4 linked regions of the Callithrix jacchus genome follow. The protein of the gene in region 1 purifies or fractionates together with the protein of each later gene. This does not show direct contact. Links are inferred from orthologs where the notes say so. Each region holds a gene or a part of one and is shown in the gene's direction. Other genes may lie near its edges. The genes, in order: RHOD, PLXNB2, DIAPH2 and DAAM1.

What was found.
Region 2: the proteins of RHOD (region 1) and PLXNB2 purify together in Homo sapiens (affinity purification with mass spectrometry; 3 studies listed by BioGRID and IntAct, counting the BioPlex papers as one, with this or other methods). This does not show direct contact. The link is inferred for Callithrix jacchus from reciprocal best matches to the Homo sapiens genes RHOD and PLXNB2.
Region 3: the proteins of RHOD (region 1) and DIAPH2 purify together in Homo sapiens (co-immunoprecipitation; 3 studies listed by BioGRID and IntAct, with this or other methods). This does not show direct contact. The link is inferred for Callithrix jacchus from reciprocal best matches to the Homo sapiens genes RHOD and DIAPH2.
Region 4: the proteins of RHOD (region 1) and DAAM1 purify together in Homo sapiens (affinity purification with mass spectrometry; 3 studies listed by BioGRID and IntAct, counting the BioPlex papers as one, with this or other methods). This does not show direct contact. The link is inferred for Callithrix jacchus from reciprocal best matches to the Homo sapiens genes RHOD and DAAM1.

The regions. Positions count from the first base shown.
Region 1 is NC_133511.1:124,151,647-124,159,092, forward strand, and holds part of RHOD (rho-related GTP-binding protein RhoD), read left to right. Parts: intron 1-2,324; coding exon 2,325-2,412; intron 2,413-3,114; exon of another isoform or gene 3,115-3,158; coding exon 3,159-3,268; intron 3,269-3,492; exon of another isoform or gene 3,493-3,872; intron 3,873-6,313; coding exon 6,314-6,562; intron 6,563-7,446. UniProt on the Homo sapiens protein: Involved in endosome dynamics. May coordinate membrane transport with the function of the cytoskeleton. Involved in the internalization and trafficking of activated tyrosine kinase receptors such as PDGFRB.
Region 2 is NC_133502.1:218,856,004-218,863,449, reverse strand, and holds part of PLXNB2 (plexin-B2), read left to right. Parts: intron 1-132; coding exon 133-290; intron 291-367; coding exon 368-516; intron 517-665; coding exon 666-774; intron 775-924; coding exon 925-1,061; intron 1,062-1,224; coding exon 1,225-1,395; intron 1,396-1,827; coding exon 1,828-1,957; intron 1,958-2,065; coding exon 2,066-2,293; intron 2,294-2,399; coding exon 2,400-2,576; intron 2,577-2,642; coding exon 2,643-2,782; intron 2,783-2,937; coding exon 2,938-3,038; intron 3,039-3,150; coding exon 3,151-3,380; intron 3,381-3,461; coding exon 3,462-3,643; intron 3,644-4,046; coding exon 4,047-4,113; intron 4,114-4,339; coding exon 4,340-4,486; intron 4,487-5,019; coding exon 5,020-5,176; intron 5,177-5,315; coding exon 5,316-5,416; intron 5,417-5,494; coding exon 5,495-5,579; intron 5,580-5,819; coding exon 5,820-5,974; intron 5,975-6,049; coding exon 6,050-6,210; intron 6,211-6,762; coding exon 6,763-6,910; and 1 more.
Region 3 is NC_133524.1:93,114,001-93,121,446, forward strand, and holds part of DIAPH2 (protein diaphanous homolog 2), read left to right. Parts: intron 1-2,645; coding exon 2,646-2,782; intron 2,783-4,607; coding exon 4,608-4,716; intron 4,717-7,446. UniProt on the Homo sapiens protein: Could be involved in oogenesis. Involved in the regulation of endosome dynamics.
Region 4 is NC_133509.1:94,024,947-94,032,392, forward strand, and holds part of DAAM1 (disheveled-associated activator of morphogenesis 1), read left to right. Parts: intron 1-1,311; coding exon 1,312-1,406; intron 1,407-3,929; coding exon 3,930-4,263; intron 4,264-4,882; coding exon 4,883-4,993; intron 4,994-5,108; coding exon 5,109-5,212; intron 5,213-6,429; coding exon 6,430-6,496; intron 6,497-6,723; coding exon 6,724-6,841; intron 6,842-7,268; coding exon 7,269-7,407; intron 7,408-7,446. UniProt on the Homo sapiens protein: Binds to disheveled (Dvl) and Rho, and mediates Wnt-induced Dvl-Rho complex formation. May play a role as a scaffolding protein to recruit Rho-GDP and Rho-GEF, thereby enhancing Rho-GTP formation. Can direct nucleation and elongation of new actin filaments.

The DNA.
Region 1 (7,446 bases):
AAAACCTGGCCTGTTGCCCATTCATGTCATCTTCATGGCAAGGCAGTCAGCTTAGGCTGGGCAGGGCTGGAGTGAGGGGCCTCTGTCCTGAGTGACCTCCTCCCAAGCCCAGGCAGAACAAAGAAGAAAGCCCAAACGTGGGGCACTGGGCTGGGCGTGGTGGCTCACACCTGTACTCCTAGCACTTTGGGAGGCCGAGGCAGGTGGATCTTGTGAGTCCAGGAGTTTAAGACCAGTCTGGGCAACATGGCAAGATCCCATCTCTACAAAAAATTACTTTGGGAGGCCAAGGTGGGTGAATTGCTTGAGTTCAGGAGTTTGAGACCAGCCTGGCAACATGGCAAAACTGTTTCTACAAAAAAAGAAAAAGATACATAAGAAGAATATGTATGGAAAAGAAAAAAGAGGGCCGGGCGCAGTGGCTCACGCCTGTAATCCCAGCACTTTGGGAGGCCGAGGCGGGTGGATCACGAGGTCAAGAGATCGAGACCATCCTGGTCAACATGGTGAAACCCCGTCTCTACTAAAAATACAAAAAATTAGCTGGGCATGGTGGCGCGTGCCTGTAATCCCAGCTACTCAGGAGGCCGAGGCAGGAAAATTGCCTGAACCCAGGAGGCGGAGGTTGCAGTGAGCCGAGATCCCGCCATTGCACTCCAGCCTGGGTAACAAGAGCGAAACTCCGTCTCAAAAAAAAAAGGAAAAAGAGAGAAAAAAAAAATAAAAACAGTCTGGGCATGGTGGCTCACGCCTGTAATCTCAGCACTTTGGGAGGCCAAATCCAGTGGATCACAAGATTAAAAGATCAGGACAATCCTGGTTAACATGGTGAAACACTGTCTCCACTAAAAATACAAAAAATTAGCTGGGCGTGGTAGCACGCTCCTGTAGTCCAGCTACTCGGGAGGCTGAGGCAGGAGAATCTCTTGAACCCAGGAGGTGGAGGTTCCAGTGAGCCAAGATTGCACCACTGCACTCCAGCCTCAGCGAGTGGTGGCATCTTGTTTGGATTGTGAGAGGTTGAGAGACAAGGGAAGAAACCCAAAAAGCTGTGAGTTCCCCAGCGCAGGGATTGAGTCTTTTGTTGCCTGCTTCCCAGTGTCCAGAACTGGGCCTAGAGAAGGTGCTATTGCCGCTGAACAAATAGATGAATGAACGAAACAAGGAATGAATAAACATGGAGGTTAGTGTTCTAGGAAGAGGGGACAGCAGAAATGGGAGTCCCAACGATACGTGCCCATGGTCCCAGCTCTTGGGTGGCAGAGTCAGGAGGATTGTTTGGGGCTGCATTGAGTTGTGATGGTGCCTTTGAATAGCTGCTGCACTCCAGCCTCAGAAATATAGGGAGACCCTGCTCTAAAAAAAAGGAAAAAACCCTGCCCTTATCCAGAGAGCAATGATAAAAATAACAGTAGTTGGCATGTAGATGTGCTTATTTTATGCCAGGCCCTGAGCTAAGTGCTCCGCACGGAACACCTCCCTGAATCCTTATAGCAGGTGGCACTGTGGTAGGGACTTTTTTTTTTGAGACGGAGTCTTGCTCTGTCACCCAGGCTGGAGTGCAATGGTGTGATCTTGGTTCACCGCAACCTCCGCCTCCCGGGTTCAACTGATTCTCCTGCCTCAGCCTCCTGAGTAGCTAGGACTACAGGTGCCTGCCACCACGCCTGGTTAATTTTTCTATTTTTGGTAGAGACAGGGTTTCACCATGTTGGCCAGGCTGGTCTCAAACTCCTGACCTCTGGTGATCTTCTCACCTCAGCATCCCAAAGGGCTGAGATTACAGGTGTGAGCCACAACACCCAGCCTTTTTTTTTTTTTTTTTTGAGACAGAGTCTTGCTCTGTCACCTAGGATGGAGTGCAGTGGCACAATCTTTGCTCACTGCCACCTCCCGGTCCCAAGCGATTCTCATGCCTCAGCCTCTTGAATAGCTAGAATTACAGACAGGCACCACCATGCCTAGCTAATTTTTGTATTTTCAGTAGAGATGGGATTCACCATGTTGGCCAGGCTGGTCTTGAACTCCCGGCCTCAAGTGATCTGCCCACCTCAAATGTGCTGGAATTACAGGGGTGAGCCACGGTGCCTGGCCGGTAGGGACTTTTAATATTCCCATTTCACAACTGAGAACAAAGCTGGGGAGGTTCAAGACCTTGCAAAAACAGACAGACTCTAGGCTGCCACCCAGGCAGGCCAAGGAAGAGGCTTCTCAGAAACAACTACACTGCACTGACCCACAGAAGGTATGGTGTGGTGAAGAGCCCAGGGTCCTGCACCTCTCGGAAGTGTCCTCACAGCCTGCCCTGCCCTGCTTCTCCTCAGAGCTACACCCCCACGGTGTTTGAGCGGCACCTGATTGACGTGCAAGTGAAAGGCAAACCTGTGCACCTCCACATCTGGGACACAGCAGGTGGGTGTGCAGGGGCGGTGGCAGGGCCCCAGACGTCCCCCAGATGCCTGGGACAGACTCCACTCTGCCTTCTGCTGAAACAGGGAGGCCAGCCAGTCTCCAAGGGACAAGTGTGGGCCAGGAGTCGGCCCAGGAACCTGAGCCCTCCTTGCCACTGCAGCCATGTCCACCTGTACCCCCAGCACCCCAGGGCTGCCCGCTACGTCTGGAGGCAAGCATGAATCCAGTGCTTCGCTTTTAGGACTGCTCTTGGCCTGCTGAGCACTCCTCCCTGCTTTTAGCTTCTGTAAGATCTGCCTGTCCGAAGCCTCTGCCCTCCAGCCTCCTGACCTTGCCTCTTCAAGGCTGAGCTCTAAGCTAAGCTCAGGGCATCCCAGCAGCCCTCTTAGTTGGACAGGCTAAGATGTCTTTGCCAGGTTCCCACCTACCCCTCATTTCTCACTCCTAAGTTCAGGGCAAAGCTGGCTTCTGAGCAGTTGCCCCAGTTACTCCAGCTGGCGCCAGGCCTGACCTCTGCCTTGCCCAGAATCCCTTCCAGACATTCCACAGGCAGAGGTGAGCACTGCCCCAAGGGGGCACTCACATAGAGTAGCCACCTCAGAGCCAAATTTGTGCCAGATGCTGAGGCACAAAACTAGGCCCTGTCCCCAGAAGCTCCCCATCTGATGGGGTGACTTCCTGACATTGGGGCGGTGCTGATAGGGGCCAGGAACCCTGAAGGCAGTGACCACCCCCACTCTGCCCAGGGCAAGATGACTACGACCGCCTTCGGCCCCTGTTCTACCCTGACGCCAGCGTCCTGCTGCTCTGCTTCGATGTCACCAGCCCGAACAGCTTTGACAACGTCTCTGCCCGGGTAGGTATGGGATGCAGGGAGGCATAGCCCCCATAGCCGGCCACTTGGCTCTGCTGCCCACCCTTGACCCAGCTGACTGTCAGAGGTTGGCAGGCCCGAGATGACATTGAGTCCAGAGGCTCTGGCATATATATGGGGAAACTGAGGCCCAGAGTGGGGCAGTGGCTTGCCCAGGGTCCCTGGCACAGGGATTTGGTGGCAGCATCTGCCCTTCTGACTCCCAGTACAGGGCTCCTTGCCTACTCTAGGCTGCAGACTCCGAACGCTGTGGCTCTTCCCACTTCGAGTCTGCCTGAGGTTGCTGGTGACCCAGAGGCTCCTGCATCTCCAAAGCCTGCGCCTGCCCGAGGCACATGCACCGTCAGGTCAGAGTCCAGCAGCTCTTCGTGGCTGCTGGTTCTCAGAGGCTGCCCACGGGCATCAGGGATGTGGCCCCTTGAGTTCCTCTCTGTTCCAGCTGCCTTTAGCCGTGGCACAGCCCCTCACCCACTGCCACCAGGGCCTCCGAGGTTCTGCCGGGTACAACCTGTGATAGTATTTGCAACAACAACAACACCGACGGCGACGATTTTAAGGACTGACCACGTTCCAGGCACTGCTCTGGGTACTAGCATGTATTTACTCATTTACCCACCCCGGCCAACCTTATGGAGTATTATTATTCCTGGATCGAGTCACTCGTCCAAAGATATACAGCTATTAAAGTGGTAACACTGGTTTGAACCCAGGCAGCCTGCTCCACCCATTCATTCAGAACGAATGATTGAGCACATCCGTCTGCCAGGTGTTGTTCTGGGCACTGGGGACCAGGAGAGATGGTGGTGCCTGGGACCAGGGTGCTAGCCGTGGGGGTGGTGAGGAGGGGGTTGATTCTGAATCAGTCTAGAAGGCGGAGTTTGCTGATGATCAGGGTTTGCTGATGGATTGGAGGTGGATGGGAGGGAGGAATTTTTACCAGAGCAGCTGGAAGGTGGAGTCGCCCTTGCCTAGAATGAGGAGCAAGCTGGGGATGGGGCGTGGGATGGGGAGAAGGCAGGTCTGCTGGACATCCTAGTGGAGGCATCCGGCAGGCAGTGCGAGGCATGCTTCTGCAATTCGTCTGAGCAGGCAGGACTGTTGGGGAGAGGAGGGAGAGCAGCTAGAGGAGAGGAAAGTCCACAGCCTGTGCCCCAGGGAGAGGAGGAGGAGGATAAGGCCCCAGAAGACCTAGGAGATCAGGACAGTGGGGTCCTGGGGTGAAGTGCAGGCTTGGTCAGGTAGGAGGGAGTGATGCCCAGGGTCAAGGCTGTCAAGGGATCTGGTAGGAGCAGGGCTAAGGATTCACTGCTGGTGGCCGGGCACAGTGGCTCATGCCTTGTAATCCCAGCACATTGGGAGGCCGAGGTGGGTGGATCATTTGAAGTCAGGAGTTTCAGACCAGCCTGACCAACATGGCAAAACCCTGTCACTACTAAAAATACAAAACTGAGCTAGGCATGGTGGCAGGCACCTGTAGTCCCAGCTACTCAGGAGGCTGAGGCAGGAGTATCACTTGAACTGAGGAGGTGGAGGTTGCAGTGAGCTGAGATCACACCACTGCACTCCAGCCTGGATGACAGAGTGGGACTCCATCTCAAAAAAAAGCATATTCACTGCTGGGTTAAGTGGGAGGCACCAAGGAAACCTTTTTCACTAACACTTTGGTGGATGGGTGGGGTGTGGGGAATCTGCCAGGGACCCCACAAAGGCCCCATTGGTTCCAGGAATGAGGTAGTGGGACGCCATTTTTTTTTTTTTTTTGAGATAAAGTCTCACTCTGTTGCCCAGGCTGGAATGCAGGGGTGCAATCTCTGCTCCGCCTCCTGGGTTCAGGCTATTCTCCTGCCTCAGCCTCCTGAGTAGCTGGGATTACAGACTCCTGCCACCATGCCTGGCTAATTTTTGTATTTTTAGTAGAGACAAGGTTTTACCACGTTGGCCAGGCTGGTCTCAAACTTCTGGCCTCAAGTGTCTGCCCACCTTGGCATCCCAAAGGGCTGGGATTACAGGCATGAGCCACCAAGCCCAGCCGATGCCAATTTTTACTGGGCACGTTTGACACCTGAGCCGGCAGACTTGGTGCTCCTGGAGATAGAAAGCCCCCTCTCTGGATTCCAAGCCCCCCACCTGCAGTCCAGGCTGAAATAACTCGGGCCTGGTGGCCTCACATTTTGCAGAGCAGCCTTCCCTCCACCAGGCAAGCAGTTGAGGCAGACAGCTGCTGCGGCATTTTATGGGCAGATTTATTTACTTATTTATTTATTTTGAGACAGAGACTCTGTCACCCAGCCTGGAGTGCAGTGGCTCCATCTCAGCTCACAGCAACCTCCGCCTGCTGGGTTCAAATAATTCTCCTCCTTCTGCCTCCCCAAGTAGCTGGGACTATAGGCACGTGACACCACGCCTGGCTATTTTTTTTTTTTTTTTTTTTTTTTGAGATGGAATCTCTCCCTATTGCCCAGGCTGGAGTGCAGTGGCGCGATCTCGGCTCACAGCAACCTTCGCCTCCTGGGTTCAAGCAATTCTCCTCCCTCAGCCTCCCAAGTAGCTAGGATTACAGGTGCACACCACCACACCCAGCTAATTTTTTGTATTTTTAGTAGAGACGGAGGGTTTCACCATGTTGGCCAGGCTGGTCTCGAACTTGTGACCTCAGGTGATCCACCCTCCTTGGCCTCCCAAAATGCTGGCATTGCAGGCATGAGCCACCGCACCTGGCCACCGCACCTGGCCAGATTTATTCTCAAAGAATCACTTCTTTCCTTATATATTTTGCCCAGTTTAGGGGGTGGCTGTGAGGGCCCTTACCCTGCAGAGAGGCAGGATTCTAGAAGGGCAGGAGCCCCACCCCTAGGCTCAAATCCTGCCATTTCCAGCCAAGGCCGAGTTACACTGCCTCTCTGTGCCTCAGTTACCACATCTGCATGGTGGGATTGATTATGAACTTGCTGCCAGGGAGTTGGGGGATTAATGGGTCCATATGCGTAAATTCTTAGATGAGTCTGGTACTGAATAGTTTCTCCCTAGATGCTGGCTGTGAGGATTACCGATATCAGAGTCCAGGCTGGGGAGCGGGAGCGTGGCCCGCTGAGAGGGCCGGAACTCTCCGGGGCTCACACACGCCCCCTCGCCCCCTTGCAGTGGTACCCAGAAGTGAATCATTTCTGCAAGAAAGTGCCCATCATCGTCGTGGGCTGCAAGACTGACCTGCGCAAGGACAAATCACTGGTGAACAAGCTCCGAAGAAATGGGCTGGAGCCTGTGACCTACCACAGGGTAGGAAACCCAGCCTGAGGTGGGAGTGGGTGACTGGGGGCGGGGACCTCTGGATGCCTCTCAGTGGCACCAGGCATCCAGCACACTCAGGGTGTAGGTCAGAGCAGGGGTCGTCTTAGGGGCTGTCAGGTCAGGAACTTCCAGCACTTGGAAATGGTCCCTAGAATACCCTGGGAGCCTCTGCCGGCAGAAGGGAGAACAAGAAAGTAGGCGTATCAGAGTCAGTTCCACCACCAACCTGAGACCCAGAGAGGAGGCCAGGCAGGCACCCACATATTCAGACTGTGGGTCCCTCTGCTACACACTTGGGTCCATGGGAAGTTCATTTCTTGGTGCCTCGAGAGGCAAAGAGGCCCAGCGCAGAACAGAGGTAAGAAACACAATGAGGGCCAGGCACAACGGCTCATGCCTGTAACTTTGGGAGGCTGAGTCTGGAGAATTGTTTAAGTCCAGGAGTTTCAGACCAGCCTGGGCAACATAGGGAGACCTCATCTCTACAAAAAAAGTAAAAAAAAAATAGTGGGGCATAGTGGCTGGTCCCAGCTACTTGGGAGGGTGAGGCGGGAGGATCCCTTGAGTCCAGAAGTTCCAGGTTACAGTGAGCCAAGATTTGCACCACTGCATTCCAGCCTGGACAACTGGGCAACAGAACAAGACCCTGTCTCAAAAAAAGAAAGAAAGAAAGAAAGAAAAGGCCAGGCATGGTGGCTCACTCCTGTAATTCTAACACTTTGGAAGGCCGAGGTGGGCAGATCACAAGGTCAGGAGTTTGAGACCAGCCTGACCAACATAGTCTCTACTAAAAATACAAAAATTAGCCAGGCGTGGTGGCAGGCACCTGTAATCCCAGCTACTCAGGAGGCTGAGGCAGGAGAATCGCTTGA
Region 2 (7,446 bases), on another chromosome or scaffold:
GGGATAGGTAGGGGGATGGGTAGGGGGACAGGCGGGCTGAGTGGGGAGCAGGCGGGGGGTGGGCAGGGGCAGTGGGGAGCAGGTGGGGGCGGGCAGGCTTGGGGTAGCCATTGACTGCTGCTCTCCCCGCAGTGACTCTCTACAACTGCTCCTTTGGCCGAAGCGACTGCAGCCTGTGCCGGGCCGCTCACCCCACCTACAAGTGTGCGTGGTGTGGGGGTCAGAGCAGGTGCGTGTACGAGGCCCTCTGCAATGCCACCTCCGAGTGCCCACCACCCGTCATCACCAGGGTGAGCCCCTTGAAGCCTGGCCCACGCCACCTATGCGCCTGGCCCAAGCCCCTGCTCACCTGGCTCTGTGGTTTCAGATCCACCCTGAGACGGGCCCCCTGGGCGGGGGCATCCGTGTCACCATCCTGGGGTCCAATTTGGGTGTCCGAGCAGAGGACATCCAGAGGATCTCTGTGGCTGGCCGGAACTGCACCTTTCAGCCAGAAGGTTACTCCGTGTCCACCCGGTAAGTGGACGGCCCTGGGCCCCTTCAGCTGGGTCAAAACCCATGCCGGGGTTCTGGGTGACTGGGTGTGTGTAGAGGCTGAGGAGTGAGAGTGTCAGGAAGCGGGTGGATCAGGGAGGGCCTGGGACACCCTGCCTGTCATCCGCCAGGATTGTGTGTGTGATCGAGGCTGCAGAGGCGCCCTTAACTGGGGGTGTCGAGGTGGATGTCCTCGGGAAACTCGGTCGTTCACCTCCCGACGTCCAGTTCACCTTCCAAGTGAGTGCCTGGCTTTGGGGACCTGTCCTGTAGCTGCTAAACCCGGAAGAGGGCTCTGCCCCCCGCCTTCCCACCAGCGTTATTATCCAGCCCAGGACTGAGGGTGTCCTGAGCCTCGTATTCACCCGAGTGCCCCTGCGGCTCTTTTAGCAGCCCCAGCCTCTCAGTGTGGAGCCGCAGGAGGGACCGCAGGCGGGTGGCACCATGCTGACTATCCACGGCACCCACCTGGACACAGGCTCCCAGGAGGACGTTCGGGTGACCCTCAGCGGCATCCCGTGTAAAGTGTGGGTGTCACCGCCAGCTGCTGTCTGGTTGGCTCTGGCCCTGGGTATGGAGGGGGGCACTTACTGAGACCTGCGTGGTGGAGGAGATGGCGAGGCCAGCCTGGTCGGGCTGGGGTTGGTCGGGGGAGGGGGTTGACGCAGACCAGCACCCTCCCTCCCCCAGGACGAAGTTTGGGGCGCAGCTCCAGTGTGTCACCGGCCCCCAGGCGACACGGGGCCAGATGCCCCTGGAGGTCTCCTACGGGGGCTCCCCTGTGCCCAGCCCCGGCATCATCTTCACCTACCGTGAAAACCCAGTACTGCGAGCCTTTGAGCCACTGCGAAGCTTTGCCAGGTGAGGCTGGTGCCCCGCCCCTTCGTCCCCTGTGGGGAGGAGGGGAGCTACCCTCTGCTCCCCACACCCACACACCCAGCTTCCTCTTCTGTGCTCTCGGCTGACTTCACTGAAAGGAATGTGGTGGGGCTGGTCTGCACAGTGGGAGGAGGCCTCCTGAAAACCCCACTGCACCCCAGATCCGCTTCCTCCTAGAAACCAGACGGGCACACCTCAGACTCTATGTTCACCAGGCCCCGCGTGCCCCCCTGCCCACTTGTGGCACAATCTCGAGCTCAGCACGGCCCATCGTGTTGCCCCTTTGCCCACCCAGACCCACACGTGCACCTGGAAGCCCTGCGTGGCCTGAGCCAGGGTGGGTGGGGATGGGAGGGCAGCGCCTGCAGGGACCACCCCTGCCAGCTGAGCCCACAGAGGCACTCCCCTCCCCAGTGGTGGCCGAAGCATCAACGTCACGGGTCAGGGCTTCAGCCTGATCCAGAGGTTCGCCATGGTGGTCATCGCAGAGCCCCTGCAGTCCTGGCAGCCTCCACGGGAGGCCGAATCCCTGCAGCCCATGACGGTCAGTCCTGGTGCAGGCTGGGGCTCAGCTCTGGCGCTAGCCAATGGGGACGTGCCCGGGAAGGGCGGGGCTTGCACCCGTGGTCTGATGGCCGGGACTTGCCTGCAGGTGGTGGGCACGGACTACGTGCTCCACAATGACACCAAGGTGGTCTTCCTGTCTCCGGCTGTCCCCGAGGAGCCCGAGGCCTACAACCTCACGGCGCTGATAGAGATGGACGGGCACCGTGCACTGCTCAGGACAGAGGCTGGGGCCTTTGAGTATGTGCCTGACCCCACCTTTGAGAACTTCACAGGTGGCGTCAAGAAGCAGGTCAACAAGCTTATCCATGCCCGGGTGAGGATGCCGCAGCCACAGGGACTGGGTCCTGCTGGGGTCTGGGCTGAGCTGGGCCGTGTCCCCGTTTCCCTCCTGCTCACCCTGACCTCTGCCCGCTCCCCAGGGCACCAACCTGAACAAGGCAATGACGCTGCAGGAAGCCGAGGCGTTTGTGGGTGCCGAGCGCTGCACCATGAAGACGCTGACGGAGACCGACCTGTACTGCGAGCCCCCGGAGGTGCAGCCCCCGCCCAAGCGGCGGCAGAAGCGAGACACCACCCACAACCTGCCTGAGTTCATTGTGCGTGAGTGCGGGTGGGCGGGGGGTGCCCCCTCGGGACCCAGCTGAACCTGGCCCCCCACACAGGTGAAGTTCGGCTCTCGAGAGTGGGTGCTGGGCCGTGTGGAGTACGACACGCGTGTGAGTGATGTGCCGCTCAGCCTCATCCTGCCGCTGGTCATCGTGCCCATGGTGGTCGTCATTGCCGTGTCTGTCTACTGTTACTGGTGAGCCTGCCCCGTGGCTGTGCCAACGCCCTCCTGCCTCAGCCTCTCTGGCTTCACCTGCCGCCCTGCACAGGCAGGCATGTAGATCCACCTCCTCATCCGGGCAGCTGAGGGGCTGGCCGGGCAGGACCCAGGAGTCTCCCTGTGCCCCGCAGGAGGAAGAGCCAGCAGGCTGAGCGTGAGTACGAGAAGATCAAGTCCCAGCTGGAGGGCCTGGAGGAGAGCGTGCGGGATCGCTGCAAGAAGGAATTCACAGGTAGGGGCGGCTGGGTTGCAGGCGCCCGGGCACCTCCTGGGGCAGGAATGCTGTGTGTGGCGGGGGTCAGGGCCCCAGGTGGCCAGGACGTCTCACGCCAGCCTCCCCCTAGACCTGATGATCGAGATGGAGGACCAGACCAATGACGTGCACGAGGCCGGGATCCCCGTGCTGGACTACAAGACCTACACCGACCGAGTCTTCTTCCTGCCCTCCAAGGACGGCGACAAGGATGTGATGATCACCGGCAAGCTGGACATCCCCGAGCCGAGGCGGCAGGTGGTAGAGCAGGCCCTCTACCAGTTCTCCAACCTGCTGAACAGCAAATCCTTCCTCATCAACGTGAGCCGGGAGGCAGCGGGCCAGAGGGCGGGCGGGAGGGTGCACAGGCCCCGGGCAGGCTCTGACTGTCGGCCCCCGCAGTTCATCCACACCCTGGAAAACCAGCGGGAGTTCTCGGCCCGAGCCAAGGTCTACTTCGCGTCCCTGCTGACGGTGGCACTGCATGGGAAGCTGGAGTACTACACGGATATCATGCGCACGCTCTTCCTGGAGCTCCTGGAGCAGTATGTGGTTGCCAAGAACCCCAAGCTGATGCTGCGCAGGTGCACACGGGTGGGGTCACAGGCGGGCGGCTGCAGGGGCTCTGGGGCTGGTGGTGGGTGGCATGGAGGCCAGTGGGGCACCCAGGAGCCGGCAGGTGCCAGCCAGCACCGTTTGGGGGCAGCCCAGGGGTGGTGTCCCTGGCAGCAAACACAAAGCCAGACTCCAGCCCTTCCTGCCCGGTGGTTTCAGCTGGTCATGTTATTAGCCTGCTGCACAACGGGACCATTAGCCTGCCCCCCCCACAAGGGCTGGAGCTGCCACCAGGCAGTCCTCGCTGCAGGCCACACCCAGGCCTGGATCGGGGCGAGGTTGTTGGCCCAAGGGTGGCAGTTGCTTGGAGGGACTTGCTGGGCCTCAGGAGTGCTAGGGCGTCACTCGGTACAAGGCTCCCTGCACCCCCAGGTCTGAGACGGTGGTGGAGAGGATGTTGTCTAACTGGATGTCCATCTGCCTGTACCAGCACCTCAAGGTGGGTCCCGCCCAAGCTGGGCTGGGGTTGACAGGAAAGGCAGACTGGTGCCGTCCCCCTCAGTGTCCACCTGTCCGTACAGCACCTTGCGGGGGGCCTGCCTGGACAGCTTCGCTTCCTGTCCCTGACACCGCCAGCCCCATCTATGCCTCTGACCAGGCCTCAGGGGGCCCCTTATAGGCCGCAAGCCCCCTGACTTCCCAGCCTCCCCTCCGTGTTACCCCAGGACAGTGCCGGCGAGCCCCTGTACAAGCTCTTCAAGGCCATCAAACATCAGGTGGAAAAGGGCCCCGTGGACGCGGTGCAGAAGAAGGCCAAGTATACCCTCAATGACACGGGGCTGCTGGGGGACGACGTGGAGTACACACCTCTGGTGAGCTCCCGGGGCGGGCAGGGCTGTTGTGGCCTCCTCGGACCTGCCCTAAGGAGCTTGGGCATCCCTGGCTGTAGACAGGACCCACAGGCCAGAGCTGTCCGCCTCCTGTGTGGATTCAAGTAGAGCCAGCTCTCTGTGCTCGGGGAGGGCCTGGGTGCTCGTGGGTGCAAGCTCTGGAGGCTGTAAGTGTCAGCTCTTCCTGGGTGCCCCTGCCTCCTTTAGGGCATGTGAGGGGCCTGGTGTCCCATATTCTGTGCACGAGTGACCGGATCCTGTGCTCGTGACCTATACATGTGCTTCTGTGAGCTTGCGTGGTAGCCTGAGTGAGCAGTTCTGAGCTGTCCCCGCTTTCTGTCCTACTGAGCAGAGCAGGCAGGGGAAGGGCAGAGTGTGGTCATCGCGGAAGCCTCGGGGGCTCAGAGCAGGGCCTGCCGCCTGAGGGTGCCGCTGTGGTGGGCAGAGTGGCTCCTGCTTGGTGCAGGTGAGAGCAAGGGCCTCTCCCCTCGGGCTTCATCCGGTGTTTTCTGCAGACGGTGAGTGTGATCGTGCAGGACGAGGGAGCCGACGCCATCCAGGTCAAGGTCCTCAACTGTGACACCATCTCCCAGGTCAAGGAGAAGATCATTGACCAGGTGTACCGTGGGCAGCCTTGCTCCTGCTGGCCCAGGCCAGACAGCGTGGTCCTCGGTGAGTGCCGGCCACTGCCTGTCTGCACGCAGTGGACAGGTCCTGTGGCAGGTCCTGGCCGGCTTTCTCCCTTGGGAGTGGTGGGCAGTGGGAGGAACTTGGGCGGCCTGGGCCCAAGCTGGGCTGTCTCTTCCCACAGAGTGGCGTCCAGGCTCCACAGCCCAGATCCTGTCGGACCTGGACCTGACGTCACAGCGGGAGGGCCGGTGGAAGCGAGTCAACACCCTCATGCACTATAATGTGAGTGTGTGGTGGGCTGGGGCGGGCTAGAACCGGGAACCCGGGGGCAGGGCCCCTTCTCATTGCTGTGTTTCCCAGGTCCGGGACGGAGCCACCCTCATCCTGTCCAAGGTGGGGGTCTCCCAGCAGCCAGAGGACAGCCAGCAGGACCTGCCTGGGGAGCGTGAGTCTGTCCCTCTTGCCCATTTCCTTCTAGCTCCTGGAGGTCGGTGCAGACCGTGTTCGCCCTTGGCACATGCAGTCCTGCCCACCCTGACCTCAGGGGCACAGGCACGGGAGGTTCCTGAAAGCCCCTCTGGGGAGGTGGCCCAGTGGCTGTGGCCGAGGCCCAGCCCTCCCACCACCAACCAGGGGAGCTGTGGGACCCAGGCCCCAGGGGTCCCTCAGCGCCTGCTCCCCACAGGCCATGCCCTGCTGGAGGAGGAGAACCGGGTGTGGCACCTGGTTCGGCCGGCCGAAGAGGTGGACGAGGGCAAATCCAAGCGGGGCAGCGTGAAGGAGAAGGAGCGGACTAAAGCCATTACTGAGATCTACCTGACAAGGCTGCTCTCCGTCAAGGTAGGCCGCCGTGGGCATGTGGGCTGGCCCCAGGAGCCGCAGCCACGGCACCACGCTGAGCCCCTCTCCCCACAGGGCACGCTGCAGCAGTTTGTGGACAACTTCTTTCACAGCGTGCTGGCCCCTGGGCACGCCGTGCCGCCCGCGGTCAAGTACTTCTTCGACTTCCTGGACGAGCAGGCGGACAAGCACAGCATCCAGGACGAGGACACCATCCACATCTGGAAGACCAACAGGTGAGCCTCTGCACCCACCCGGCCGGCCCCGCCTCTCACTCATCTGAACCTCTGCACCCACCCCGCGGCCCACCCGGCCAGCCCCGCCTCTCTCTCATCTGAACCTCCTGCACCCACCCTGCGGCCCACCCGGCCCGGCCCAGCCTGCACCCACCCTTCATCTGAACCTCTGCACCCACCCCGCGGCCCACCCGGCCCGGCCCCGCCTGCACCCACCCTGCGGCCCATCCTGCGGCCCACCCTGCGGCCCACCCGGCCTGCCCCGCCTCTCACTCATCTGAACCTCTGCACCCACCCCGCGGCCCACCCGGCCGGCCCCGCCTGCACCCACCCTGCGGCCCACCCGGCCCGGCCCCGCCTGCACCCACCCTTCATCTGAACCTCCTGCACCCACCCTGCGGCCCACCGGCCCGGCCCCGCCTCTCACTCATCTGAACCTCCTGCACCCACCCTGCAGCCCACCCGGCCCGGCCCCACCTCTCAATGACCTGAACTTCCTGCACCCATCCTGCCGCCCAGCCCCGACTCTCACTCCCCTCTGCTCTGCCTCAGTTTACCGCTCCGGTTCTGGGTGAACATCCTCAAGAACCCCCACTTCATCTTTGATGTGCACGTCCACGAGGTGGTGGATGCCTCGCTGTCAGTCATTGCACAGACCTTCATGGACGCCTGCACACGCACGGAGCACAAGCTGAGCCGCGTGAGTGGGGCGGGGGCAGGTCTGGGGCAGGGAGGACCTTGTCTCGGGTGTGGATTTTTACATCTTGGGCCTGAGTCCTGGATGTAGGGGGTGGAGGGTGGCCGAGGCTGGGGGCAGAGGGGTCTGGGGCAGATCCTGGGAGATTCTGAGACCCCTCTCTCCTCCTGAGACCTGTACATAAGCAGAGAAGCTGAGTGTTGACACTGGTGTCGCAAAGAAAAATCAGCACCGAGACAAAGGATTTTTTTTTATGGCCATGCAATTTTTACCTCCTGGGCTGCAGGAAGGGCACCATCACGAGCCATCTTACCACAAGAGTGCAGTGAACAAAGGGAAAAACACGGATTTATTCCTCACGCATCTGGGGTCGTCCTTACTGCTGTGTCCGATCTCCGGTGGCCGGAGCCAGACCTCACCATCTAAACTAAAACCCGATTGGCTGACAACTTAAAATTTTGTTACTAAACAGAGAAAAGCAATGGAGAGCTGGGGCATGCCTGTGAGCACGTCCAGTGCAGATGTTTTGGTTAAAGTCC
Region 3 (7,446 bases), on another chromosome or scaffold:
CTACTCAGGAGGCTGAGGCAGGAGAATTGCCTGAACCCAGGAGGCGGAGGTTGCGGTGAGCCGAGATCGCGCCATTGCACTCCAGCCTGGGTAACGAGTGAAACTCCATCTCAAAAAATAAATAAATAAGAAGTGACCTCTACATACCTATAGATGAAATACTATTGACTAATTCACTTAATTACCTAATTCCTTTTATATAGTATTTTAATCTCAAAATAGAAATAATTATAGCAATAACTAGAAGTTTGCCAAATATAAAATATAGCTATTAACCAATGCAATAAGATTGTATATTAATCTATAGAGTCTCAAGCATATGGAAATATATATAAGTATATGTTATACATACATGTACCAGAAAAGAGTATTAATATATCAGTATATGTAATGAATGTTTGCTAGTGGACATGAGACTCCTGAATACAATATGCTAGTTGTACTGTTTCTGGAAGTTTCTTACAGAAACATTCCCATCACTACTGGTACAGATTTTCTCAAATTCTGGGCTCTTAGTGTTTGGCTACAAAGTTAAACAGAATCTGATGCCTAATAAGGAATTAATGAGCATTGCTGCTTCACAGCTCAAGATGGAGCTCTTTCTTCAATTGAAGGAAACAGTCACTTGATGGAAAGAGAACATAGTACCAGAACTCAGGAATTACAGTTCATGCTTTGCCCCTAATAAGTTGCATGGCCTTTGGAAAATTACTTGACCTCTCTGAGTATCAGTCCCCTCATCTGTAAATTTAGCTATAGGACCCTTTGTTCTAAGTTTTTATTGACTCATGTTGTCAATTATCACAGCTTTTCAGGATGCTAAGTAATTTTAATCAGGACAGTCACTAGAGAGAGTTGTAATAGAAAGATTCTTATAGAGCCTTTGTTTTCACAGGACATACTTTGATTTGTCAACAGATTCTTAAGAGTTTGACAGTTTCAAAAAGCATGACGATTTGACTTAGATTATTTAAAATTGATATTTTTAGTTAGGCCATGTTAATGTCTTGCACATGGGTACTCGGAGCATGAATTAATAATATTTTTAAATTATTGACATGTGACAAAACAGGCATAAAATATGCATTCAGAATAGAAAATATACAGTGATCTTTTCACTTCATATTAGAATACATTGTCCAGATCAAGGAATTAAGCTTTTATCCGAAATGACTTACACATCAAATTTTTTGACCCCATGGAGTTTAGATTACCTACTTCAAAAACTTCTTTCTCTTATCCAATGCATATAAAAAATAGGATCATAAAAAGCAACCCATTGTTTTAACTTCCAGTACAATAATACTGCTCTGATGTTTGGATTAATGATTTTCCAGATATATTTTTCATGTCTTTTTTTATTTTCGATGTGTTTCTGCATGTTAAAAACTATTTTTAAACATTAGGTAACATTTTTAAAAGCTAAATGATTTCACTCTCAGTCTCAATGACTCAAAGCTATTAAGTTTGGTAATTGCATTGTAATCATCTATCAGTTTTACAAATGTGTTTTTCACTAATATTCATTACTTTTAATCATCTACTGGCCACCTTTATGTGTACTTATCTATTTTGTTTTTGTTGCTTCTTTCCAGGCATGTTTCTCCATTTTGTTTTGTTTTTTTTTTTTGTCTTATCTCCGTATATTTTCTTATTTATTATAACCTATGATAAAGTCACATTTAAGAGCTTTAGCTGTGTTCCCCATCTGCCACTCTGAGTTCTTTTAGAAGTTAAATTAGGGATGATGGAACTATTCATATGGTTGGTAATTAACTAAAGTTTAGCTGAAATGGAAAATCTGCTTCAATGAAATATCCAATTTCACTATTAGACTGTAAAATAAAGCAAAAATATTTGATAAAAAATCACAAAAATACTTTGTGGGACAAAGATCAAAGAATAAGTTGTCTTCTTAATGTAATAAATACTCAAGTTTTAGACTTTCATTAGAATTTCTTTACTTATTCATGCATGCACATGCATACACACAGGTATTCATACTTAGAAAATAAATGAAGATGATGTTTTCTCTCTTTAGTTGACTTGTGACATTTAATAAAACACAGGTGCCATATCTTTAGGTTCACAGCTTTTGTAGTGTAGCACAGCTGTCTGAATCAGGGAGGATAAGAGACAGAAGGCATGGGAATACCCATACTGAGGCTTATACTGGCATATAGTATTCAAAAGAGCCTTTTTAAAAAAAAAACATTTTTCTCTTTTTCTTCACCTTAATTTTTCATACAAACATATTGGACAATTTAGCCATGAATTCCAGACATCTCCAGGGAGACCCAATGACATAAGTAGAATTACTTTAGAAAATCATATCAGTATGTGCTTTACATGTTATTCTTTGTTGAAGAAATACTGATTGTTCCCATATTTCTCCAAATTTATGGAATTTTTAGGGCAGGCTAATGGAGATCATATCTGATCAAGGAGCAACAACTCCAAGATGCAGTCATTTTAAATAAAAAACAAAGACAGATATCTGCATTTGAATAATATTCATATAATTAGGTAGAACCTTATTGTGGGGGTATGGATTTTTGAAAGATCATTGTAAGTTGCTTTTTTAAATTAAAGATATATTCCTTAGACATTTTGAATGATGGTTCTTTTTTTTTTTTTTTTTTTAGTTTGGATTACAGAGGATTCTAGGAGATGAAAGAAGTCTTTTACTATTGGCAAGAGCAATTGACCCCAAACAACCCAACATGATGACTGAAATAGTAAAAATACTTTCTGCTATTTGCATTGTTGGAGAAGAGAACATGTAAGTATTGCTATATTATTATATTTGCTGCATGGAAAATGACATTTGAGAAATTAATAAATTCTACTTTTGTCCTACTTCTTTGGATAACTTTCATGAAAACAGTATTTTAGATAATTTTTGATTGACAGTTTTATCTTGTCTGTTTATATTTTGGCTTTTTTGTTGATATTATGAAAACTAAGTTTAAATAGATAGAATCCTAGTGGGAAGTTCTTGGAAATTTGATTCATAGTGATTGAGTAGAATTTTGTTTTGCTGGAAGTACAGCAATCATTAGAAAGTGGACAAAAGTCAGAGAGTTATTTTGGCAAATACACACACATATATACACAAACACTGTACTGCATATCACACAATTTGAATAGATGCCTTTGTTTTGCATTATTATCTTATAATAGTATTTTACTTTATATGCCATGGTCAATGAAAAGATGAAGTAATTATTTGTAGAGTGAAATAAACCAACCTGTTGAAAGCAAAAATAGGTTGTTCATAATTATTCAAAGTGTATAAGTGCTACCAAATGCAGCAAGTTGTTGCAGAACATGCATTTTATCATATCTTCTTATGGAAATAATATTGAATCAGAAGTAAACTTTCAGATTTGATGACATTAGTAAGTCTAGTTTGTAAGAAACCATTGTGATAAAGAATCAAATATCTGCTAAGGACCTGCACTATGCGATATGTTGACTTTCTTATAATTGCTAGCATAAAATGAGATGTTGCTTAGTGTTAGCTACTGTCCTCAGAAACCAAAAGACAAACACTAAAGAAAAATACTAAGTCTCACTCAATGAAAACAAGCTGAGAATGAGATAACATATGCAAAAGCAAGGATCCTTAGATTTTATTGTTTTAAATCTCAGTTTACACCTGTGTAAGAAATATTTTTAATCACTTAGATTTTCAGTATTCATTAAATACAGTCTAGTCCAGTATAACTATTATGATTTAACTATAATTTCAGATATAATTTGGTAAGAGTAGTATACTACATAGAGGTTAATTTGTTTTAGGCACTGTGTAGCATTACTTAACAATATTTTTGGTCAGGTTAATAAGTTTCTTGTGCTAGATAATTATACATTCTTCTTTAATTACCTGGGCTTTCCTTTTTAGAGTCTTTTTTCTTTTTTCATTTTCAAAAAATGTTGATTTAAAAAATTATTTAAAAAATAATCACTCTGTCTAGAACTTTATTATAAAATTACAATCTGCTTATGTTCTAATTAACTGTTAACAATTATAGGTGCCATATTATGTTTAAGTGATATTAAAGTTAACACATGAAATATCAAAACCTGAAAATTTAAATTTTAATGTTTATCGCTTAGTATTCTTTACAAAATGTCACCCAGTAAAGTTACTTTCTTTAGAATTTTTAAAATCGAATTTTCCTTTTGATGCCCTAAAATTATTTACATCTATCAGTATTGGACTTAAAGAAATATGCAGACAGAAACACAGTTCTTATATTGTAATGGTCTTTCATTTAGACCAGAGGAATCAGTTCAAGAAATCTATTTTACGCCATAGTGACTATAGTTAATAACACTTTAAGTGTTCATACCACAAAAAAATGTAACTACGTGAGGCAATATGTGTTAATTAGCTAGATTTAGCCATTCCACTATGTATACATATTTGAAAACATACACTTTTCATCAATTAAAAAAGTAAATGATAATTTTAAAAAATTATCATAGTATATATAAACATCAAATACCAGAAAGAAAGCAGGGAATACTGAAAGAACCCATGCTTATAGTGTGTGTATAAGAAGTATTTCTCATTTCTGTTTCTTCTTTTTTCTCTACAGTCTAGATAAACTTTTAGGGGCTATAACAACGGCAGCAGAAAGAAATAACAGGGAACGATTTTCACCGATTGTGGAAGGTTTGGAAAATCAGGAAGCCTTGCAATTACAGGTGAGTTCGTTTTGTCTTAAATTGCTTCTAGAGTTATATTTAGAGTACTCATTTTGTATGACATCAACTCCATCTTAGCTGACATTTAAATAGTATGAAATGTAAAACTAAAATTTTTCTGTTTCTTGTTTGTGAGAATTACATTTTTTTTTAATTCCGACAGATACTTTGGAAGTATTATAAATATGGCAGTTATGACTCATTGATATTTGGACAGGAATTTAGTAATTAATATAATAGACCAGGGAAATTGAACCCTTAGCAATAATCAGACAAAAGGGCAAGTAGTTCAGCCAATGCCATTGTCCTAACATGTGTTAATGAAGTCTGTGGACTTGTAGAAATTTAAGACAATTAAACACGTCTTTCTTTGTGCCATTCAGACAACACTCAAAGGTCTGACTCACCAGAATAGAAGGGATTAAATTGCAGTTCTTAGGTTCGTGTCCATTTCATAGCCCTATTTAGACACCACTTACTAAATGCCTTCTTTAGAAAATGACAAATCTCACTGTCTTTTCTTACATGGTTTCAGGAAATGATCCATTTTATGAATGATAACTCAGTTCTTGAGGAATGAGAATGCATGTTTATTGCCTATATTTATGGTATGAGATCCTGCACTAAACATGTTAATTTCATATATTATTTGATTTAATTCTAAAAACAACCTAGATATGTAGCTATTACTATAGTATCATCTTTGTTTTGCTTATGGGATGAATAAGCTGAATGAGATTAAATAACTGGTCTAACGTGACACAGTTTTTAAGTGGTACAATTGGAATTTGATTCCAGGTTTTTGGTCTCTGCTAATCTCTCTTTTATATACCATTTAATGTACCGTGGAAAAGTCTCTAAAATTTGTTTTTAATTTTCGTATTGTCATTCAACAAAGAGAAGGTAGTTTCTACATTTAATGTTATCAGTATTGAATGTTTAAGTATTAAAATTTCTTGCTTGATGTGAAACAAACACAATTAATTTTCTCCTTTTTTATATATTCTGTAGTATTTGTATCTTTGTTTGCCAGAATTTGAAACGGCAAAAGATAGATGAATTGGCTTGTCTAAAGAGAATCTGTAGGCCGGGCGCGGTGGCTCAAGCCTGCAACCCCAGCACTTTGGGAGGCCGAGGCGGGTGGATCACGAGGTCAAGAGATCGAGACCATCCTGGTCAACATGGTGAAACCCCGTCTCTACTAAAGATACAAAAAATTAGCTGGGCTTTGTGGCGCGTGCCTGTAATCCCAGCTACTCAGGAGGCTGAGGCAGGAGAATTGCCTGAACCCGGGAGGCGGAGGTTGCGGTGAGCCGAGATCGCGCCATTGCACTCCAGCCTGGGTAACAAGAGCGAAACTCCGTCTCAAAAAAAAAAAAAAAAAAAAAAAAAAAAAAGAGAATCTGTAATGTAACAAAATTGTAATTCTTCTCCAAATATTCAAGGATCTTTGTTAATCATGACTTATACTCCAATGATACTAAACATTTTGGATCAACTTTTATGGTGTACTTTTCTGTCAAATATATTACTTATTTATTTAATTAATTTTTGAGATGGAGTCTTGCTCAGTTGCTCAGGCTAGAATGCAGTGGTGCGATCTCCACTCTCTGCAACCTACAGCTCTCAAAGCAATTCTCCTTGCCTCAGCCTGCTAAGTAGCTGGGATTACAGGTGCACACCACCACGCCTGGCTGATTTTTGTATTTGCAGTAGAGACGAGGTTTTGCCATGTTGGCCAGGCTGGTCTTGAACTCGACTTCAGGTAATCTGCCTGCCTCAGCTTCCAAAAGTTCTGGGATCATATTACATATTTCAGAAATTAGGATTTTTTTTAGCAGTGTTTTCCTTTTTATAATACTTTTTTCTTATAAAATTTAATCTTGATAAAATTTCATACCTCTACTGAAAGGTGGAAAACTGCCTTTTTTTGACGACCTTGAATTTTTTGACGACTAAATTTCATACTCAGTTTGTCATACTTGGGCCAAAAACATTGATATATTTTTTAAATCTTCCTTAAATAAATTTGTAGCCACAACTCTGTGAGTTATATCAGTAAACTCTGGTTTACTGATCAGGGAATTGAATTGCTGGAAGGCACTCAAAAATCACACAGCTGTTAAGGAATAGAGCTGTAATTTGAACCCAGGTCTTTGTGATGCCAGAATTTAAATACTGCATTGCCTATACTTTCAAGGGACACCTCTGCCAATGAGTAGTTCACCCCAAACAATAAGATGGGAAAGATACTTGCTAGCCTTCAGGAAGCTGGACAGAATGGAATGATAAAATAACAAGTTGTTAACAAGTAACATATGGAAGAATCACAGACATCTTGTTAAGTGTTCAAAAAACTGTTGAATACTGATTATAGATGCAAACATATGCACACCACAATTTAAAATTTCACATTTTAATGAGCTACAAAAATTAGTAATTTGTTATATACAGAGTCTAGTACTCTCACAAGAATTGTGAAATGAGTTTGTTTATTTAGACTATTTAATGTGAATGAAAAGATATTCTGTAAAAGTTCACAACTATATTCAGAATACAGAAACAAAAAACCAAAAGTTTAAATCTGTTGTTTAAAAAATACAATTAGTGTTGTATTTTAGCAGAACTACTTTTCTATTTCTGTAGTATCCTGAGACTTCCCAAAATGTTATTACAGTCTCAGGAAGTAATTTTGTTAAAATACAGGACTAATTATTTTTTTAAATAACA
Region 4 (7,446 bases), on another chromosome or scaffold:
ACACTATTGATTGTCACCCTTGATGATTTATGGTCCTGGAAGAAAAGCCGTGACTGGATCATTGAGACCCACGGATAGGAGTCAGGCTTTTCTTTTTCAGTACAGTCACCCCAGTGTATTTCCTAGCCAAGCATTTCTGTCAGAATTTGTAACAGGTAAAAAGATTGAAACTAGACAAGCATGTGTTCAGAATAGGATGAAGAACAGGGACTGGGAGCTCCATGGTGGAGGTTCCTGGAGTCATCAGATTGGGGGTACTGTAGGACAACCAGGTGATCGCTGAATGAAAGGGAATGGAAAGGACTAGACACCTTACTGGCATTCATGATTTTATAATCGTGAATTATTACTGCAGTCTTACATAAAACCTTGCTCTCGCGGCATCAGCATTGCCTAGAAATGTGTCAAGAATGCAGCATCTCAAACCTCACCTCAAACCAGGCTCAAACCAGACATACCAAACCAGGCTCCACATTTTAAGACTATCCTCACGTGATTTTCAAATCCACATTAAAGTTTGAGAAGGACTGCTCTAGCAGATCCCTGTGTAGAAACACACACACACACACACACACACTCACACACACACACACACTCACACTCACACTCTGATTTCTAAATGATGGTGAATCATTTCTAGAAGTTAAGCCTTTACTCTGAAGGAATTGTCTATCCTAGTAATAGCTCCAATTTAATTGTTCTTCTTAAAAAATAATTTGATGTAACAAAATCCCTTTGGTCTTGATTACACTTTTTGGCTGAGGAATAGGGATGGTAGTGTGGGAGGACTGCTGCCCACCTCCTCTTTTTGATAATGTGATAATTTCTCAGACTCTGGGACTTGAGATTTGCAGAACTTGAAATTGTGACCTTGCATCCTACACGTCATATATCTCCCATCTTTTGAACCCACCAAATTGGGTGTTCCCTGAAAATTTTACAGCTTGCCATTCTTGAATTAGGATCAATATGAATAATTTTTCATGTTTCACTATATTACTCAGATGTAATTGCCAGAACATTGTATTCAACTACAGGTTCAATCTTATTTCTATCAAATACAAATAGTAATATCTATATCAAAGTGTAATTGTAGAATAGTTATACAAACATTTGGGCAACATAGTCTCTACTAAGATTTCTAAACTTTTCCTTAAAGCTTTATTTAGAATTTGAAGGACCTAGCTTACTTGATTATAGATTTATTATTTATATTTAAAGTGATGGTAACAAATAATCTTAGGTTTGTCTTGCTTGTACTGTAATTAAAAAATAGAATTTGAAGAAGTGACTTCTGTTTTCTTTGTACAGAGAAAATCTCTGCTGGCCTTAGAGAAGGAAGAAGAAGAAGAGAGAAGTAAAACTATAGAGAGTTTGAAGACAGCACTGAGGACAAAACCAATGAGGTAATTTTCCCTGGTTAGCATGGTTTTTTTCTCTCCTTTTTCCCTCCTTTTTTCTGCAATAGTCAAACCTTCTATTAAGTCTTAAGTTAAAACCATAAAATTAAACCATGAGTAACATATTTTAATCATTAACATTTAATAAAATTATTTTCTTTTTTTTTTTTTTTTTTGAGACAGAGTTTCGCTCTTGTTAGCCAGGTTGGAGTGCAATGGCACGATCTTGGCTCACCGCAACCTCCACCTCCTGGGTTCAGGCAATTCTCCTGCCTCAGCCTCCTGAGTAGCTGGGATTACAGGCACGCGCCACCATGTCCAGCTAATTTTTTGTATTTTTAGTAGAGACGGGGTTTCACCATGTTGACCAGGATGGTCTTCGATCTCTTGACCTTGTAATCCACCCGCCTTGGCCTCCGAAAGTGCTGGGATTACAGGTGTGAGCCACTGCGCCCGGCCAATAAAACTATTTTCTTCTGTTCAAAGGTATACAGGCCGCCACTAGGATGGCTAAAATAAAAAAGACAGAGACTTTAACAATGGCAAGTTAGTAGGCAGGAATGTAGAAATATTGGAACCCTATTCATTGCTGCTAGGAACATAAAATGGTGAAGCCACTTTGGAAAGGATTTTAACAGTTTCTCAGAATTTTAAATATAGTGTTGCCATATGACTCAGTAATTATACTTCTAAGAATATAGCCAAGGGAAATGAAGACATGTCCCCCAAAAACATGTATGCAAATGTTCATATCATTATTCATGATAGCCAAGAAGTGAAAACAACCATATATCCATCAGCCAATGAAATGATAAATTAAATGTTATATATCCACAAAATTGAATATAATTTGGCTACAAAAAAAGGAATGGAGTGCTGATACATGTTGCAACATGAAATAACCTTGAAATATACTAAGTGGAAGAAGCCAGTAACAAAGGAGACCACATACTGTATGATTCTATTTCTATGAAATGCCCGGAATAGGCCAATCCATAGAAACAGAAAGTAGATTAGTGGTTGCCAGGAGCTGAGGAAGTGGGGAAAATGTTCTCTTTGGGTGATTAAACTCTTCTAAAATTAGATAGTGTTGATGGTCACACAGCTCTGTGAATATACTAAAAACTACTGAATCGTACAATTTAAAAGGGTGAATTTTATGGCATGTGAATTATTTCTCAATACAACTAATTTTTTTAAGATGGGTAGACTTTCTGGCAATAGTGATTCATTTCCTCTCTGATAATCAGCTTCTATGGTGTGCCTCCTGCACTTTCATTTTTCTTTAATGCCTGTAGGATTTGGTGAGGTGTTGAGGTTCTTATATGTACATTTCATGAGCACAGGTGCTATGAATGAAGCCAGCTGGTTTAATGAGCTTGGCTATAGCTGGGTCATGTGGTTGGGTGAAAAGCCTAGAAAATAAAGATTCCCTTTCTTTATTTGACTATAAAATGAAAACTTAGAAAAGCCTGATTCATTAAAAATGTTGTGTAGTTATATGACTGAGCTCTAGACTATCCTGTCACCGTTTCTCTCAGTGTGTTCTGCATTCTCAGATGTTAATCAATATCCAAGGCTAATAAGTTTGGAAAATTTATCACATAAACAGATTATGTTACTTCTGAGCTTTTCAGTGGCTATGTACATGTGTATTGTGAGTTATTCTCATTGATTAGCTTAACATTAAGTGTAAGAAATATTAATAAAGTTAATATACAACAAAGTATTGCTTTATTATTGTATTCCATGTATATGGAATAATGAGATTCCATGTAGCATGTCAAACAAGAGAATAGTTTTTTAATAAAATTTTTGGGATATAGATTATCATTTGTTTGACAAGCAAATATTTTGGAATGTAAGGAAGCTCTTGACTTTCATTAATAGGGCGTTTAGGTCAGTGATCAGCACTTAAAAGTGCATTAGCAGTCAACATAAAAGCGCATGGCTGGACGTTGTCACTCACTATACCAGCTACTTGGGAGGCTGAGACAGGAGGTTTGCTTGAGGCCAGGAGTTCAAGACCAGTCTGGGGAAAATAGCAAGCTACTCGGGAGGCTGGGATGGAAGGATCACTTGAGCTCAGGAGTTCGAGGCTGCAGTGAGCTATGGCAGAGCAAGACCCTGTCTCTCTTAAAAACAAAACGGGGGATGGGTGGGGTATTGGAACTGGAACTGTATGCTAAATAACACAGGATCTGCAAATGATTTTAACCTAAGACAAGATATGTATTCTGAGTATTCTCTTGCTTTTTTATAAGCATGTGATCTGTTACTTGGTTCTTTGTTCTTGTTGAGATGTGTTTTGCACAAATGGAGGGTTTTGTTTTTTCACACTTTTGGTTAGACCTGACCGTTGGGTCTGTGCTGAGGAAGAGGCAGAGCATTAAAAAGACTTCATCAGTGTAAGCCTTTTGGCACTTCAGGAACTAAATTTTACTTTCCCCCACCCTCCAGACTTTTCTATTAGGGGCTATTATAAAACCCCAAAGGGACTTAAGTGTGGTGTACTTCTCTTCACAACAGGTTTGTAACCAGATTCATCGACTTGGATGGCCTGTCATGTATCCTCAACTTTCTAAAGACCATGGACTATGAGACATCAGAGTCTCGAATACATACTTCTCTCATTGGCTGCATAAAGGCACTAATGAACAACTCTCAAGGCCGGGCTCATGTCCTGGCTCATTCTGAGAGTATTAATGTAATTGCTCAGAGTCTGAGCACAGAGAACATTAAAACAAAGGTGGCCGTGCTGGAAATCTTGGGCGCCGTGTGCCTGGTTCCTGGGGGCCACAAGAAGGTTCTGCAGGCCATGCTGCACTACCAGAAATATGCCAGTGAAAGGACCCGCTTTCAGGTGGGTGCTCCCTCAGCCTTCTTCACTCACCCCTTCTTTAAAGTCTGCTCAAACACGTGCTTTTCCTGTCTCTGAAGGGGAACATTACTTGAGAACATTACATTTCCCCCTGTGGTGATTACTCACAATGTGACTTCAAATATTCCCTCCTTCTTAGATTTAAGAACCAGAGAATAGAGTATATTTTCCATAGTTGATCAGTCTGTAGCTTTAAATTTGCAGAACTTGAAATTGTGGCCTTGCATCCTACATGTCATACAGCTCACATCTTTTGAACCCACCAAATTGGGTGTTCCCTGAAAATATTACAGCTTGCCATTCTTGAATTAGGATCAATATGAATAATTTTTCATATTTCAGTATATTAGTCAGATGTAAAAAGCAAGCGGAGGTGATGAACCAAAGGCTTTTGTATACATGTATGTATGATGTAAGAATTTTGAAATTAGAGTTTTTAGGACTGTTCTTAAGGGGGGAAAAGGGTGCTTTCTATGGGTCAGTATAATCCTGACTAAACACAAGATTTGAAAAGTTAACTTTGAGTCTAAAAAAATTCATAAAATGAGCATAAGGTTAGTAATGTTTCAGTCCTTTGTTTTTATATTTATATTTTTGATAGACATTAATTAACGACTTGGATAAAAGCACTGGGCGGTATCGAGATGAAGTGAGTCTCAAGACTGCAATCATGTCCTTCATTAATGCGGTGCTCAGCCAAGGAGCAGGAGTGGTAAGGACCTTCTACTATAAATTAAAAATCTATTAGTAAAGAATAATTTATAAAAAGTGATTACTATTTAGTCTAAAAACCACAAATATGTATTTTATTGCCCATTTACTTTCAGGAGAGTTTGGACTTTAGACTTCATCTTCGCTATGAATTTCTGATGTTAGGAATTCAACCTGTAATAGATAAATTAAGGGAACATGAAAATTCAACGTTAGATAGGTAAGTCAGAATGCTATGATGTGAGAAAGTTTCTGTGCTTTCCATCTGTAATGCAATGCCTCATCAAGTGCTGGCCTGTGGTTACCTGTGCCCCGTCTGTAATGTAAAGAGCTTGTACCAGAATGTTAGTTCAACTAATGATGTTTTTATAGTAAGACTTTGTTGATGAGGGAAGCAGCACATTTTATAGAAAACGTAATGTGGGTTTTGGCGTTAGACCTGAATTCATGTCTTATCCTAGTCCTGCCTCGTACGTCCTGTGTATCCTGGTGAAGTTACTCCATTTTTCCGAATTTTGCTATTTTTATTCCTGTAAAAAAAAATAAGCGCTGGTGGTAATGATGATAATGACAGTTATTTTCCAGGAATATTTTAAAAATTGACTAAAAAAACCTATGGAATCACTTAGCCCTTTTGACAGGCATACTGTGACTGTTCCACTGCCTATTCATTTGCTCGTTTGCAATCATTTTACTATCTCTAAACTATCCCTACTTGATTTCAGAGCTTTTCTCTACCACTGTTCTCTTCTCCTCTATATTCATATACTCCAGCATGCTCTTCTTCTTGATAGTCTGTGAACACGTCAAAACACTCTTGCGTCAGGGCCTTTGCACTTGCTGTTTCCTCAGCTTCAAAAGATCTTTCACAGATGTCCAAATTGTTTGTTCCCTAGTTCCCTGGAGAGAGACCTTATGTAACCACTGTGTACATTATTCACCTCATCTGCCACCGTTTTCTATTTTTTTTACCCTGATGTGTTTGTCTTCATAAAATGCATCCAGGGTGTGTAGTATACATAGTAGGTGCTCAATAAATACATGACTGAATAAATGAATGGCATGATCATTTGTTTTGTCACCTTTAATTCAGCTGGAAGTTAAGTGTAGGTTTATGGGCATGTTTTTCCATAAAGGGAATCCATGAATGGAATTTGGACTTGATTGTTTTTAGATTTAGTTTTAATAATTGCCTACTATACGCTAGGCAGCCTAGATTTTTAAATTTTTCTCTTATTGTAATCTGTTTCACTCAGGTGATGTCTTTTTTCCTTAGAAAGAACATAGTTAAGTTGAAGCATTCAAATTTTGTTCCATTGTTTCTTTCTGAGCTATCTCTGAAAAGTCAGGAAAAACCTTAGTATTCATGTCCTCAGTCCTATGCACCTGTGTTTGTAGGATGTTCTACTTAATAACTTTTCTTTCATTATTTTTCAGGCATTTAGACTTTTTTGAAATGCTCCGGAATGAAGATGAACTAGAATTTGCCAAAAGATTTGAACTGGTATATATGCTTACAATTATTCTGGTTTGACTTATCAGTTCACATTATTTCTCTTTGTAATGTGTGTTATAGAGTTCATAGGGACTAATGCAACCTAAAAGCAAAATCGAAGCTCTATTTTGTTACCTAAGGGGCAGGATTAGCTTCTGTTTGCTTTAAGTTTATTTTACACTGGGGGAATTGAAGAACTTAGATGTTTGATTTGATTTCTTTTTCCTATAAAATAGGTTCACATAGACACAAAAAGTGCAACTCAGATGTTTGAGCTGACCAGGAAGAGGCTGACTCATAGTGAAGCTTACCCGCATTTCATGTCCATCCTGCACCACTGCCTCCAAATGCCTTGTAAGTGTATTTGTGACTTACATGTGTGCTTCTGAATGTTTGGACATTGTCCAAAGGGTTCTGGCCCCTGCGCAGTGCTGATTACATTTGGTGCACACCAGAGATTCCAAGGCTTGGTTTTATGACAGCCCAGTTCGTGTGTCTACATAGCTTAAGGGGTGTTACAAAATTTTTTTAATGAAACAAAATTTTGATTTAAAAAATAAAAAATATGCCCTACAACCTGTTTAGAAAGGTATAGAAGGTCCCTCTCAATCACATTAATGATCATTGCATGTCAAAATTCGATAAACTTTGGGAAGCATTGGTACAGATGTTGTAAACCTCTCTGGTTCTGTGGCTCTGAAGGGTGACCGCTATTGACAAATATTCGTCCTAGCTCAGAAACAACTTGAGCATTTTCTTTCACTGTTCTCTTCTTTTTTAGACAAAAGGAGTGGCAACACTGTTCAGTACTGGCTACTACTAGATAGAATTATACAGCAGATAGTTATCCAGAATGACAAAGGACAGGACCCTGACTCCACACCTTTGGAAAACTTTAATATTAAGAATGTCGTACGAATGTAAGTCTCTTCTTATTCTGCTGCCTGTGAGATAATGGT